Arabidopsis thaliana: one gene and its partner. The protein of the gene in region 1 purifies or fractionates together with the protein of each later gene. This does not show direct contact. Each region holds a gene or a part of one and is shown on either strand. Other genes may lie near its edges. The genes, in order: PIP and NUDT3.

Evidence for each region.
Region 2: the proteins of PIP (region 1) and NUDT3 fractionate together in Arabidopsis thaliana (co-fractionation; one large-scale study listed by BioGRID). This does not show direct contact.

What each region holds. Positions count from the first base shown.
Region 1 is NC_003071.7:6,040,577-6,045,650, forward strand, and holds PIP (proline iminopeptidase), read right to left. Parts: upstream 3,399-5,074; 5' UTR 3,294-3,398; coding exon 3,200-3,293; exon of another isoform or gene 2,959-3,199; coding exon 2,762-2,958; intron 2,672-2,761; coding exon 2,573-2,671; intron 2,484-2,572; coding exon 2,373-2,483; intron 2,295-2,372; coding exon 2,232-2,294; intron 2,099-2,231; coding exon 2,005-2,098; intron 1,912-2,004; coding exon 1,811-1,911; intron 1,648-1,810; coding exon 1,546-1,647; intron 1,450-1,545; coding exon 1,336-1,449; intron 1,272-1,335; coding exon of another isoform or gene 1,121-1,271; coding exon 1,046-1,120; intron 958-1,045; coding exon 865-957; 3' UTR 570-864; downstream 1-569. Other genes in the region: AT2G14255 (Ankyrin repeat family protein with DHHC zinc finger domain-containing protein), read left to right, coding at 1-50, 140-316; AT2G14265 (uncharacterized protein), read right to left, coding at 3,757-3,815, 3,951-4,008, 4,152-4,208, 4,352-4,453, 4,506-4,565; AT2G14270 (Cytochrome C oxidase polypeptide VIB family protein), read left to right, coding at 5,003-5,074. UniProt on the Arabidopsis thaliana protein: Specifically catalyzes the removal of N-terminal proline residues from peptides.
Region 2 is NC_003070.9:29,983,376-29,990,990, forward strand, and holds NUDT3 (nudix hydrolase homolog 3), read left to right. Parts: upstream 1-1,670; 5' UTR 1,671-1,984; coding exon 1,985-2,049; intron 2,050-2,401; coding exon 2,402-2,581; intron 2,582-2,653; coding exon 2,654-2,731; intron 2,732-2,923; coding exon 2,924-3,020; intron 3,021-3,107; coding exon 3,108-3,241; intron 3,242-3,414; coding exon 3,415-3,496; intron 3,497-3,610; coding exon 3,611-3,697; intron 3,698-3,786; coding exon 3,787-3,893; intron 3,894-4,095; coding exon 4,096-4,267; intron 4,268-4,352; coding exon 4,353-4,600; intron 4,601-4,702; coding exon 4,703-4,784; intron 4,785-4,963; coding exon 4,964-5,029; intron 5,030-5,164; coding exon 5,165-5,242; intron 5,243-5,343; coding exon 5,344-5,439; intron 5,440-5,529; coding exon 5,530-5,636; intron 5,637-5,715; coding exon 5,716-5,884; intron 5,885-5,984; coding exon 5,985-6,068; intron 6,069-6,142; coding exon 6,143-6,237; intron 6,238-6,317; coding exon 6,318-6,408; intron 6,409-6,493; and 5 more. Other genes in the region: WRI4 (Integrase-type DNA-binding superfamily protein), read right to left, coding at 7,065-7,450. UniProt on the Arabidopsis thaliana protein: Probably mediates the hydrolysis of some nucleoside diphosphate derivatives.

The DNA of each region.
Region 1 (5,074 bases):
TACTCATTTTCATTGCGACTATGACATTGACAATCTCACAGTCTTATATGGTAAGGAAGTCTCAGCTAAAGTAAAAATTTGGTTCTCCCTCCCCTCTGCAAATGATTGTATAACAGTTATTGTTGGTTGTCTGGTGCAGATAGCTCGGAATATTACAACCAACGAATTATGGAACGCGAAGAGATTCAGTTATTTGCGGGGACCTGACGGAAGATTCTACAACCCTTATAACCACGGCTTGCGAAGAAACTGCACCGATTTTTTGGTTCATGGCTACACCAGGGACGACGAGGTTGTCCCGTCTTCAATTCTCTGAATTTACATCTCCTCATCGCATTGTTACATGCATAAACCCTCTGATTTAGTATACTGTGTATATATATATCTCCTCTTCGATTCATATATTGCAAAGTAAGGTTCAAGTTTCTTCTCCTTTACTTGACACACCTCTTGCACTCTGTAAATCTTTTCCTTTATCACTTACCAGTTTCACCATTATGCTACTCAACACCCATAGTCTCCAATCCTCTTGATAAAAGGATTTTTATTTGACTCATATGTTTTTACCGCTGGTTTTTGTTGGGGATTTCTGCATTTAAACGGTTCAAAAAGGCCATGGTTCTAAGGTATTCGTTAGAGTCCCATTCATTGGTTACATTGGTGCTTATAGTCCGGGTTTCAAAACACTGCACCTATGTCATTGTCTTTTTCATTTGGGTATAAACGTCCATGGAAATAACATTCGGTTTCGCGTTAACAACTAACTCTGAATGTGATATTTACTTTGCAGCAACAAACTTGAAAATATGAACAAAGGTCCCAAAGAAATGAACAAAATGAGCAGCTTTCATTCCATCAAATACTTCATCCCATAAGTGCTTTCATCTTTTCATTGGCAACCACGAGTTCCGCTGATATTCCTGGCTCATTTGCCGAGTGCCCAGCATCATAAACAATCTGCAGACCGTTGGTCGCATTACGACAATAAGCAAAACTAAACTTAGGAAAGATCTTGAAGAAATCTTGGAAAAGATTTTAAACTTACCTTGAGTTCTGCCTCTGGCCATGCTTTGTGCAGATCCCAAGCAGACATCATAGGACAGCATACGTCATACCTTCCCTGTCCATTTTAATAATCCAGACCCAATCTCAATCCCATAATATATAAATGTAATGTATATAGCCAAATCAATGTTGTGTTTACAACGTGAGAAACCTAAGGCCGATGTTTTTTTCTTGTTGCATGTGTTTCCATTTCTATAACCTATCGTCTACACAACTCGGCCTCATTAGATCAATCAATTCACAATTCCAGTTCTTATATTAAGGATGTACCTGAACAATGGTGGTCTTGATATGTCGTATTTTATCAACATTGTCTAGCAAGTGTGAGTCCGACGGGAAGAAACCTTTGTTAACAAAGTAGTGATTTTCAATCCTTGCAAACGCCTGCAGCACAAAGCCAAATGGTCGTTAAGAAATCAGTATAAAGATAATGTATGAGCTTTATATAGTAACAGGTCAACGAATCCAGATAAAACTAACCAATGAAAATTTATCATCCTCTGCCTTTTGAACGTTTTCAAGATTTGGACGAAGATAAGCAGTCATCATTTCCCATTTAGTCCAAGCTCTTGCAGCTGCGTACTACAAGATCATAAGAATGCAATAATTACTACGGTAGACATTTATTAGTCCAAATTCTTTCGGCTATAAAAGCTAAAAGATGAGAGTTCAATTGCTGTAAATGCCGAAAAAGAACGATGGTCAATGCCTTTTCTCGTGTAATAGTGATTAGATCTCAACATACTTGAATTTCCAGATCATCAGAATTCAATCTTTTGTGATACGCGTCCACAAGGCTACTACCTCTCTCGTTTTCTGGAATAAGATCTCTGAACTCCTCCCAAGCTTTTAAACAAAGAAACAAACACTTAAGAAGAAGAGAATATGGAACCTACTGCACACAAAACTCCAACACAGGGATACAAGAAAGAGAATTACCATCAGGGTAAATAGCAGCAGCACCGCCCTCGTAAAACCAGTCAATCTCCTTTTTACGCAACAAAAAGATCCCTCTAAGGACCAAACCAGTAACCTTGCACCAAAAAAGTTAAAAGATGTGAAATTATAGGTAAGAAAACTACTTATTAGATCATATTCCATTCAATCAATCCCTAAACAACCATTATTATTCTCAGATGTAAGAATGTAAACATCAAGATTTGCACCTTGTCAGGGTGAGACTGACTGTATGCAAGAGCTAGAGTGCTTCCCCATGATCCTCCAAAAACCTGACAAAAACAGAGGTTCTGGCTCTTAAACCATCTCAACAACATCAAGAACCATATCTCTGGAAGAAAATCTCTCACCAGCCATTCAGGTATTTTCAAATGTTCTCTTAGTTTTTCAATATCATTCACAAGGTCCCATGTGGTGTTTTCCTCCAAACAAGCATGCGGTGTACTCTTCCCCGCACCTCTCTAGAAGAAAACAAGACAATAAAAACTTAAAGATGAATATACAAGCTGGATCAATGTATTCAAAGTGTCCACAAAATTCACAAACCGACCTGATCAAACAGAACAATCCGATAAAACTCCGGATCGAAGAATCTCCTATTACTAGGAGCCGTCCCTCCTCCCGGCCCGCCGTGAAGAAAAACAACCGGCTGCAATATGTTAATTCCCATCATACAATGGAAAAGTTAGAAACTTGAACACATGATGGTTGATTCAATAACAATGATGGTTTTACATACGTGTCCATCGGGTTTGCCTGATTGCTCCCAGTAGAGAGTGTGAACATCTGAAACCTTTAAATTTCCACTGCTATATGGCTCAATGGGAGCATAAAGGGTTCTCTTGTTCACAAACGTTTCTGCTTCATGAGGTTCCATTGTATCACTCTTCAACACCTCACTCTTACCACCGCAACTAACTTGAATCTTTCGTTGCCCTACTCAAATTCAAACAAAGCTCAATTCAGAATGATGATGATTACTAACTAACAAATGGTTTTTGAGTTACAAGTTTAAAACTTTCACATTAAGATATATCCTCAAAGGCATAAAATTGTAAAATTAGACTAATTCACAGAAACCCTAGGAGCTAAGATTAAGGATCATGAGAATGATTAGTGACATGTGACCACAAAATACTTATAAGCTTGTAGCAGAGAGAGAGAGATAGAGAGAGACCTGGGAATAAGAGATTGAGATTGTTATGGTTTGAAGGAAAGAATCGAACACAGAAGCAAGGGGCCAAAGAGAACGATGCAAGGATCAAGTTCATAGTATTTGACCCGTTTCAGCAATTTCTCAGTAATAAAAGAGACACGCGTCGGATCCTTAATTGATACCAATCGGGTCGAGATTTTTCCACCACTGTTTCAACGTATTTTCAAGATAATTTGACACGTTTAGGCATTTTTAGAAAATCTTATTTTTTTGGAAATGTTCTAATATTAGGCATTTTTAAAAAATATTTTTCGATTTAAGGCACTTTATAGGAAATAAACATTTTTTCTACTATTTTTTTTTTCTTAGATTTTTTTACTCTCAATTCAATATTTATGTTTTTAATTCTCAATTTCTCTTTCTTGTTATTCCTCTTCCACGATCCTTACCCAAAATAAATAAAATCTCTCTCTCTCTCCCTCTCTCTCTCTCTCTCTTCATGATTTGTAGCGCCTCTCTTTCTCCACGTCTCCATAACTTTTGAGAGAAGTTTCTTAAACAATTCGATCTCGATTATCTCAGGAATTTGGTAAAAGTTTTATGTCCATAAGGTCTTGGAGGTGGAGGTCTCTACAAACTGTAAGAAAAATCAACAAACAATTTTTTTGTGTCCATAATAACGAGTTCATTTAAATATATCCATTCAGAAAACTTTTACTAATTAATATTCATTCTATATACCAAGTCCATAATAACAGAAGATTCGATTAACCGTGCTTTTGTAAAGAAACCAAAGTTCCATGTCCATAAGATCTTGGAAGTGGAGGTCTCTTCAAACTGAAAGAAAAATCAACAAACAATTTTTTGGTGTCCATAATAACGAGTCCATTTAAATATATCCATTCAGAAACCTTTCTACTGATCTATATTCATTCTATATACCCTATCAATAATAACAGGAGATTTGATTAACCGTGTTTTGTAAAGAAACTAAAGTTCCATGTCCATAAGGTTTTGAAGGTAGAGGTCTCTACAAACCGAAAGAAAAATCAACAAACAATTTTTTGGTGTCCATAATAACGAGTCCATTTAAATATATCCATTCGGAAACCTTTTTACTGATCTATATCCATTATGTATACCATGTCCATAATAACAGGAAATTTGATTAACCGGAATCTCGATGCTACATAGGTGAAACGAGTTTGACACATGAGAGAGAGCAGAAATCAATTCAAGTCGCCATTGTTGAAGAAGAAGAAGTTTCTTAGATAACTAAATCTCAAATTTATGTCAAAACAAATATTTAAATTGCAAAATAAATCACAATCTTAAAGAAACCAAGACCTCGTATTCTCCAATTAGTCAAGAGAGAAGAGAAAGCCATCGCGTAGAGTGGATTTGGAGATTAATTGCAGATTTGGAATTGAAGATATTCTGGGAAAGGTTTTTTTCTTCGATAAAGTGAGAAAAAAAAAAAGAAAAAAAAAAGAAGAGATGGGAAAAGGAGAGAGAAGAGATAGCCGATTGAAAAAATGTAGTTAAAGAGTAAATAAATAAAATAATTTATTTAAAGTGCCTTCTCCATTTAAAGTGCTTTCTCTATTTAAAGTGCATAATTATGAACTAACTTTTAAAAAAGTGTCTAATCACGTAATATTCTCTTTTTTTTTTAGGCACTTTTCAGGGATGAGACATTTTCTCTTGTTTCTGGATGATAAAATGATAATTATATCCTTTTCAAACTAAACCATCAATTGCTTAACCGGTTAACATGGTTTTGTTTGAATTGATATCTAATAAAACGACAGTTGAGATTTGCAGATGAGAAAGAGTTACCTTCACAATTACAGGTCTTCCGATTATCTCACAATCTCGATGTTGATGGCTGATAAT
Region 2 (7,615 bases), on another chromosome or scaffold:
TAGAGGTTATGTGTAATAAGCTAAAAGACAAAAAATATGTCAAATACCATTTTACCTTTTACTTTATATGAAAAAATATGGGTCAAACTTTTTATATTATTTAACTATTTAGAACTATTTTTATTATATTATAGTTATTTTTTTTTTCATATTCATCTTTTTGAATTTTATAAAAATAAATTATTTTTAAAAAATAATTTCTTCTTCCAAAAACAAGATGATTTATATGTTTTTAATTATAATTCTCGTACACCAGCATTAAAACATAGTTTTGTACACTAACACTTATACACCAAATCATTTTATACATATCTTCTAAAATATTTCTATTTATCTCATATTTATAAAATAAAATAATAATTGTTCATAAATTAATAAAAATATAATGGTGTACACCATCATGTATACTATTAAATTAACCATAATGGTGTATACCATTAAATGAAAGTAATGATTATACATTTTTACTTATGTACACTAACATTTGTACACTTTTATGTACACTAATCTCATATTATTATTATTTAAACTTTGTTTTGTATATTATCACTTGACAAAAATGGTTTTATCTTTTGAATATGAGGTGTACACAATAGGTGAAGGTGTACGATATTATATACGGTGTACAAGGTGATTTATGGTTTGATTTATTATCTCATTATTGCATGTATACTATTAATATCATGTACACCATATTTTACATTTTCGTACACCATCTTATTATGTAGTTATACATCATTGTATATTATCGTTTGTACATCACTTTGTACACTGTCTATACCGTATACCACTTCTTAGATCATTAAGAAACAAAAGTTATTTTTGACTTTATTTGACTATATGACAAAACAACAGAAGGCTATAAAGGTCATTCACTAAAATCTCTATTAGATAGAAAATTGTATTAGAAAGGAAAGAGAAAAGTGTCTATTCTCCCTATTTCTAAAAAAACTACTTACTTTGCAAATTATTTGTGAAAAAAGTGTCTAGTTTCCAACTTATCTCTATTGTTTTCTGCTACAATATTTAATAAATCGTACTTTCTCCTATACCTAAATCAACACGGCCTTTATTTGTTAGAGTATCTCCATGGGATAGATACCCTTGCTAGTTTCTCAACAAAAGAAAAAATTATTATTTTAATTATATAATATATTTTGTTTCAATTATAATACTTAAACTAATATTTGATTGACATGCCGCGATTTAGGCTGAGAATCGTTTCTCCTTGATTCTCAAGTGAGAAACTCTTCTTCCACTCTCTCTTACTTTTTTACTTTTGGGTTATTATTTTATTATTAAGTTTCTCATTCAGAAATGATGAAGATGGCCTTACGTTTACATTTTAAAACAAAGAAGCATGTAGTACTTTTGAATATTGTTTCTCACCATTATTGTACTTGTGGAAAACACAAAAGTAGTTGTTGTTACTTTCATCACTCTATGAGCAATAAAAATGCAGTCCTCGATGAAAATGTGGCTAAGAAATGTTAGGGAAATGATCCAAAAACCTTTTTGACTAACTCGTTTTGACCTGTCATTACTATTATTACATAGTTATCTCATTTTTGGTCTCTATTGCAAGAATCATGAAATCTTCTTATAAGAGACTTTGGTATTACCCACAAAACAACTTAATAATTTTACCTTTTGATATTATATAATCCACACAACTAACATGAACTAACTGCTGACATAATCGTCTTAACATTAAAAAAAAATGAAATGAATGCATGCATTGCATATAAATGTACAAATGTTGGCTTGATCTCTTGACCCCTACCTAAGACGTAAGAAGGTATTTTAGAGCTGTGAAATGTGTCAAGCTGAGTCTCGGAGTGAAAAGGGTCCGGTTTAGTGAAGCCAAGTAAGCAAAGCCCCTTGTTTTTGACGGACATTATATCTCCTCCTCTTCTCTTCTATAAATTGGGCACCTTTTTCCAATTTTACGCACAGTCACGGAGATAGATAGTAAGAGAGAGCTATGGCGGAGGAGCACTTCGACGTTCTGACTAAATCCGGTGAGAAGACCGGTGTGTCCAAACCCAGGCATGTTTATTGTTCATGTGTTTTCCCTTTTCTTGTTTGATGAAAAGTACTCGGAAATCGAATTCGTACGCTGAGATGTTTGCACATTGAAATTTTACGTCTTTGTTGGAAAAAGTCATCCTTTTCTTAGGTTTGGGGTTTGATTTGATGCTTCGTTGACCCTATCAACTACACAACAAACTCGACCAAAGAGTTTTAGGTCAATCGGAGAAATTTCAATTCGATTTTGGTTTTAAAAAAAGTTTAAGCTGAAAAATTTGGGATTTTTTTCTTCATGATCAGCTCTTCTTTGGAGTTGTTTTTCCAGTGAATTAACCTCAATTCGTCTCTGTTTGGAACCATGTCATTGTAGGGGAGAGGTTCACAGAGATGGAGATTACCATCGTGCTGTTCATGTCTGGATTTTTGTGGAGACTACTCAACAGCTACTTCTCCAACTTCGATCTGATGATAAAGATTCTTGGCCTGGTCAATGGGACATCTCTAGTGCTGGCCATATATCAGCTGGTGATACATCGCTTCTATCTGCACAGTAAGTCAATCCCATTCTGCTTTCGTTACTTCTTCTTTCCGTTTACTAAAGATTTCAGGATACTTTCTGTAGGCGGGAGCTTGAGGAAGAGCTTGGCGTAAAACTCCCAAAGGATGCATTTGAAAAGATCTTCGTTTTTCTGCAGGAATGGTTTGTCTCTTGGCCTATATGATACATGTTCTCTGATTCTTTCAAGAGACATTATTTGTAGCTTAGTTTGATTGGTATATCTTGAAGCTAACTTGCTTTCGCTTATTTAAATAAGCATTGTAATTTATTACTCTCAACTTGAGAGGTATTCTTAAAGACAGTGTGCTGCTTTTCTTTTGTGTACTTTGACAGTGTCACAAACGATGGCAAATTCATAAATAATGAGTTCAATGATGTGTATCTTGTTACTATTCTGCATCCAATCCCATTAGAAGCCTTTACTCTTCAAGTGAGTTTTTTTCCTTCACGAAGCTGTAAGTTTAAGTAGTATAAATCACTTGGATTCTTAAGTAACATTTTTTTATGTATGTATTAGAAAGAGGAAGTCTCTGCTGTAAAGTACGTACCTTACGAAGAATACAGAAACTTTCTGTCTAAGGAAGATCCTGCTTATGTGCCATATGATGTTAATGGAGAGTATGGAAAACTATTTGACATAATCAGACAGAGGTACAGTATCTCTATTTCGGTTTTTCTCCTAGCTATTCCTTTTTTTTTCTTGTTCATATCTAATATCTTCCATGGTACCAAATGAAAACTTTTATGAGTCAACTATTGCTGAGGTACATATTTTATATAGATATGTTTTCTTACATAGAGTGTTTCTTCTGAATTTGTTGAAGGTGCCAAGTGAACACTGAGGCCCGTAGTTTATCTCTGCAGAAGCAACTCCAGAGATATTCTCCAGTCACCCTCGAAGCCAAGGTATTAATTTGTTACATCTTTTCTTGTGATTTCTTTGTTTCATATGCACCAAATAAATCTTATTTTGCACCGTTCCATAAAAGACATTTTGAGACACCTTTCATTTATATGCAGTTGACAGAACTTTCTGAAGCAGATCAGAAAGCGTTGGGTCTAATTGTGAAGGCTGCAAAAATTATGGACGATATATTCTATGAGCAGGTTCTGTGGAGTCCGAAATTTCTTCTTTTTTTGACCGTGAACATGAAATCTCAGATCTTAAACTAAATTAGAAAGTTATCCTTTATCAGGTTTGGAACAGCAATCCAGCCCTAAGAGATTGGCTGAAGGATCATGCCAATGCATCAAAACTGGACAAACTAAAATGGGATTACTTCACGATCAACAAAAGTCCATGGTGATTATCATCAAAGTTACTTTGTTCTAACATTTATGTTCTACGGAAAGGGTTAGGATTCATCAACGGAGCTGTTGCAGAATTTAATTAAAGTTGCAAAAGATTTTTGTCTTGAATATAATTCGTTAACATATTGGTGTGTCAATCTCATGACGATTAGGAGAGATGATCCAAGAGATTGACGTTCGTATTTTATTTGCAGGTCGTCTCTTGATGAAAATGAAGCATTCTTGAGTACTGCGGATTCAGCTGTAAAGTTGCTTCCTGGAGCAACAAAAGCCATAGCTGGCTGGAAGGGTCTTGAATATAGAGCAGCCTTTCCAGTGACTAAACCACCTGGTGCCAATTTCTATCCTCCCGATATGGATAAAATGGTATTCACACATGTTTGATGTGTCTTTACCAATTCCTTTTCTGTTCCCATTACTCGTAGTAAGAAATGTGTATCTAAAATTATAGGAGTTCACCTTATGGCTCAATGGCCTTACGGAAGAGCAAAAGCATGCTGCAACAGGATTTTTCAGTGTTATAAAAAGGCGAAGTGAAGCTAATTTAGATGCTTCTGATCATCTTGCCAGCAGCACAAAGAAGTTACCAGACTCTAATTCCGATCTGTATAGTATTCCTTATTCAGAGATATATCGACCTTTCCTCAAGAAAGCTTCTGAATTCTTGCAGAAAGCTGGGGACTTGGTCAGTTCGCCAAGGTATATATTTCAAACAGTTTCTTACCCTTACCATATAAAATGTATTCACCCATTCGATTGGCTTAGTATATTGAAGTATTCACCCACAATGCTTTCTCATAGTTTGAAGAAGCTACTGCACAGCAAAGCTGAAGCCTTCCTTTCAAATGAGTATTATGAGTCAGACATCGCATGGATGGACTTGGTAACTCTTCTCTGTTCATACATGGTCTTCTAGTCTTCTGTAATTTTCCTTCCTTATAAAAGAGGATAGCTCTTGTAAGACGAGCTCTGGCTATTTTAATGGTCCGTAATTTTCTGTCACATATCAGTCATGCATTATAGTTTTGAGTAACTTTTGCTTTGTCTTATCATCTTTTGTAGGATTCAAAGTTAGATATTACCATTGGTCCATATGAGACGTACGAGGATGAAATCTTTGGGTATAAGGTAAGACTTTACATAAGCATGTGCTTTCGCAATGATTTGCTTATGCTGATGCTCATCCTCGTCTTCACATAACCTTCATAAATTGCAACTCCCTTTAACCATTACTCTCTAATCTGTATTTGTTTTCCGTCTAAGGCTACATTTGAAACCTTCATCGGTATTCGAGATGATAAAGCCACAGCTGATCTGAAACTCTTTGGTGACAATCTAAAGGTACTGCTCTCTTCGTAGCTGCTGTCAATCAAAGTTGCATTTCTTTACGTTTTCAATTTTCTTTTCTCTAAGATCATTTTTCATTTTCTACTTTCCGGTAGCTATTGGAAGATAATCTCCCGCTTGAGAGTGTATACAAATCGACAGATGTATCTGCTGCTCCTATTCGGGTCATCCAGTTAATTTACAATTCCGGGGTAAGTTCCCCTCGGCATCCATCTGAGATAGGAAAAGGAAGAAAATGTATTGCCGTTATTCATGGTTCACTTGTTTCTTGATTGTGACAGGATGTGAAGGGTCCTCAGACTGTTGCTTACAATTTGCCAAACGATGAAAAAATCGTGAAGGATAGAGGAACATCAATGGTTATGCTCAAGAACGTCCAAGAGGCAAAGTAATGTCCCTTCTTCCTCCATATTTCATCAATAAACGGTGTCATAATTACATCTAACTAATGCTTTTTTCTTTTCTAGGTTTGAACATATTTTAAAGCCTATAGCTGAAATCACCATCAGCAAGGAACAGAGAGGATTAGTTGATTTTGATTCTTTCTTCACTCACACCATTTGCCATGAATGTTGCCATGGCATTGGTCCCCATACCATAACCCTTCCTGGTGGTCAAACCTCAACAGTGAGAAAGGTTATACTGCTTATTGGAAGAATGCAGACATCTAATTAAGGATTGTTTGCGCTGTGACTAGTAATTTACCTTTGTTTTCTCGGTATTTCCTTTGATCTAGGAACTACAAGAAGTCCATTCTGCAATGGAAGAAGCAAAGGCAGATATAGTTGGTCTTTGGGCACTGAAGTTTCTCATCACTAAGGTTAATGATCATATTTGCTAGTTATTGAAACTTTGTTCATATAAGTCTAATTTTCAGACAATGTAAATCAACAGGGGTTGCTTTCAAAGAGTATGGTGGAGAGTATGTATGTTTCGTTCCTAGCTGGTTGCTTTAGATCGATCCGGTTTGGTCTCACAGAAGCTCATGGGTAATGAATGATCTAGAGAATTATATAATCCGCACTCCTATATGTATAGTTCCTGACATTATTGTCTATTTTGGCCTCAGGAAAGGGCAAGCCTTGCAATTCAACTATTTATATGAAAAAGGAGCCTTCGTGTTCCACGAGGACTCTACATTCTCGGTTGATTTCGCTAAGGTATCAGTCCAAGTTTACATGAAAAACTTTCTGATTAGTCATATATCGAAACACCTCCTGAATCTTGTTATTCCGGCATGTAAAGATCGAAGGTGCAGTTGAGAGCCTGAGCCATGAGATACTAACTATTCAAGGAAAAGGTGACAAAAACGCAGCAACATTGCTTCTAAATAAGTACTGCACTATCACCGGACCATTGAAAACCGCTCTGGAGAATCTCGAACGCGTTAAGGTACAGTTTCTTTACAGGATAACAAGACCTAAATTGAGTTGAGAATTGAGATATCCATGCAGATAGAATGATCTGCGTTCATGGTTTTGTTTGTGTGTTTAGGTACCGGTGGATATATCTCCGACATTTCCATTAGCAGAAGCATTGATGAACTGAGGAAAGTTTCAGTTTCAGCAAGACTCTGGTTTTAACTTTTAATAAATAAATAAAACTCAGATGATCCATCATCATAAACCAAATTTGGGATTTAAAAGAGTTATCTGAATGGTGTTGTGTTCTTATCATAATAAAGTTGCTACCTTTACATCTTTATTCCATAGAAGAAATTTTTGAGAGCTTTAAGATAGAATGTTATCATCATCACTAAGAAATAATATTTGATGTATTGTGTAGATAATCAAAACAAAACTTGTAGAAAATACGATTAAGGTCCATAATCAAACTCGTTATAGAAGCCAGGATTTATATAAGAATTGAAACAATCGAATATTACGTCTTCCTCAGTCGCTAACTTGCCGGAATCTTGACACCCAAAATACGTCTGGATATCGTCGGGGAAGCTCCGGCGAGTTGGAATCACTTCCGGCGATGTAGATGGTTCGATTACTTCCTCTGATTTCGGAGATTTGTTATCATCCGACGATTCGGGCTCGCGACTAGGGCTTCGAATGGGCTTAGAATCGGAATCGGCTTTATCCGCGGCGGCGTTAGGGTTTAGATAACGGCTGACGTCGAAATTGGTAACGGCGTTAAGTCCACGGTACTCTATTGCCGCGATGTCGTAGGCGATTGCTGCTTCTTCTTGCGTGGCTGCACGTGCACAGGGTTTAAAATGTTACAAACAAAAAAACTTTGGTACTATACCATATTTTCATAGAACTTTCATCCCATTTGTATAAATATGGATTTTTCTTTTTTTCCTTTTTCTTAGAACAACTTTCCCAATTTGTATAAAGTGGATTTCTATCACGTATT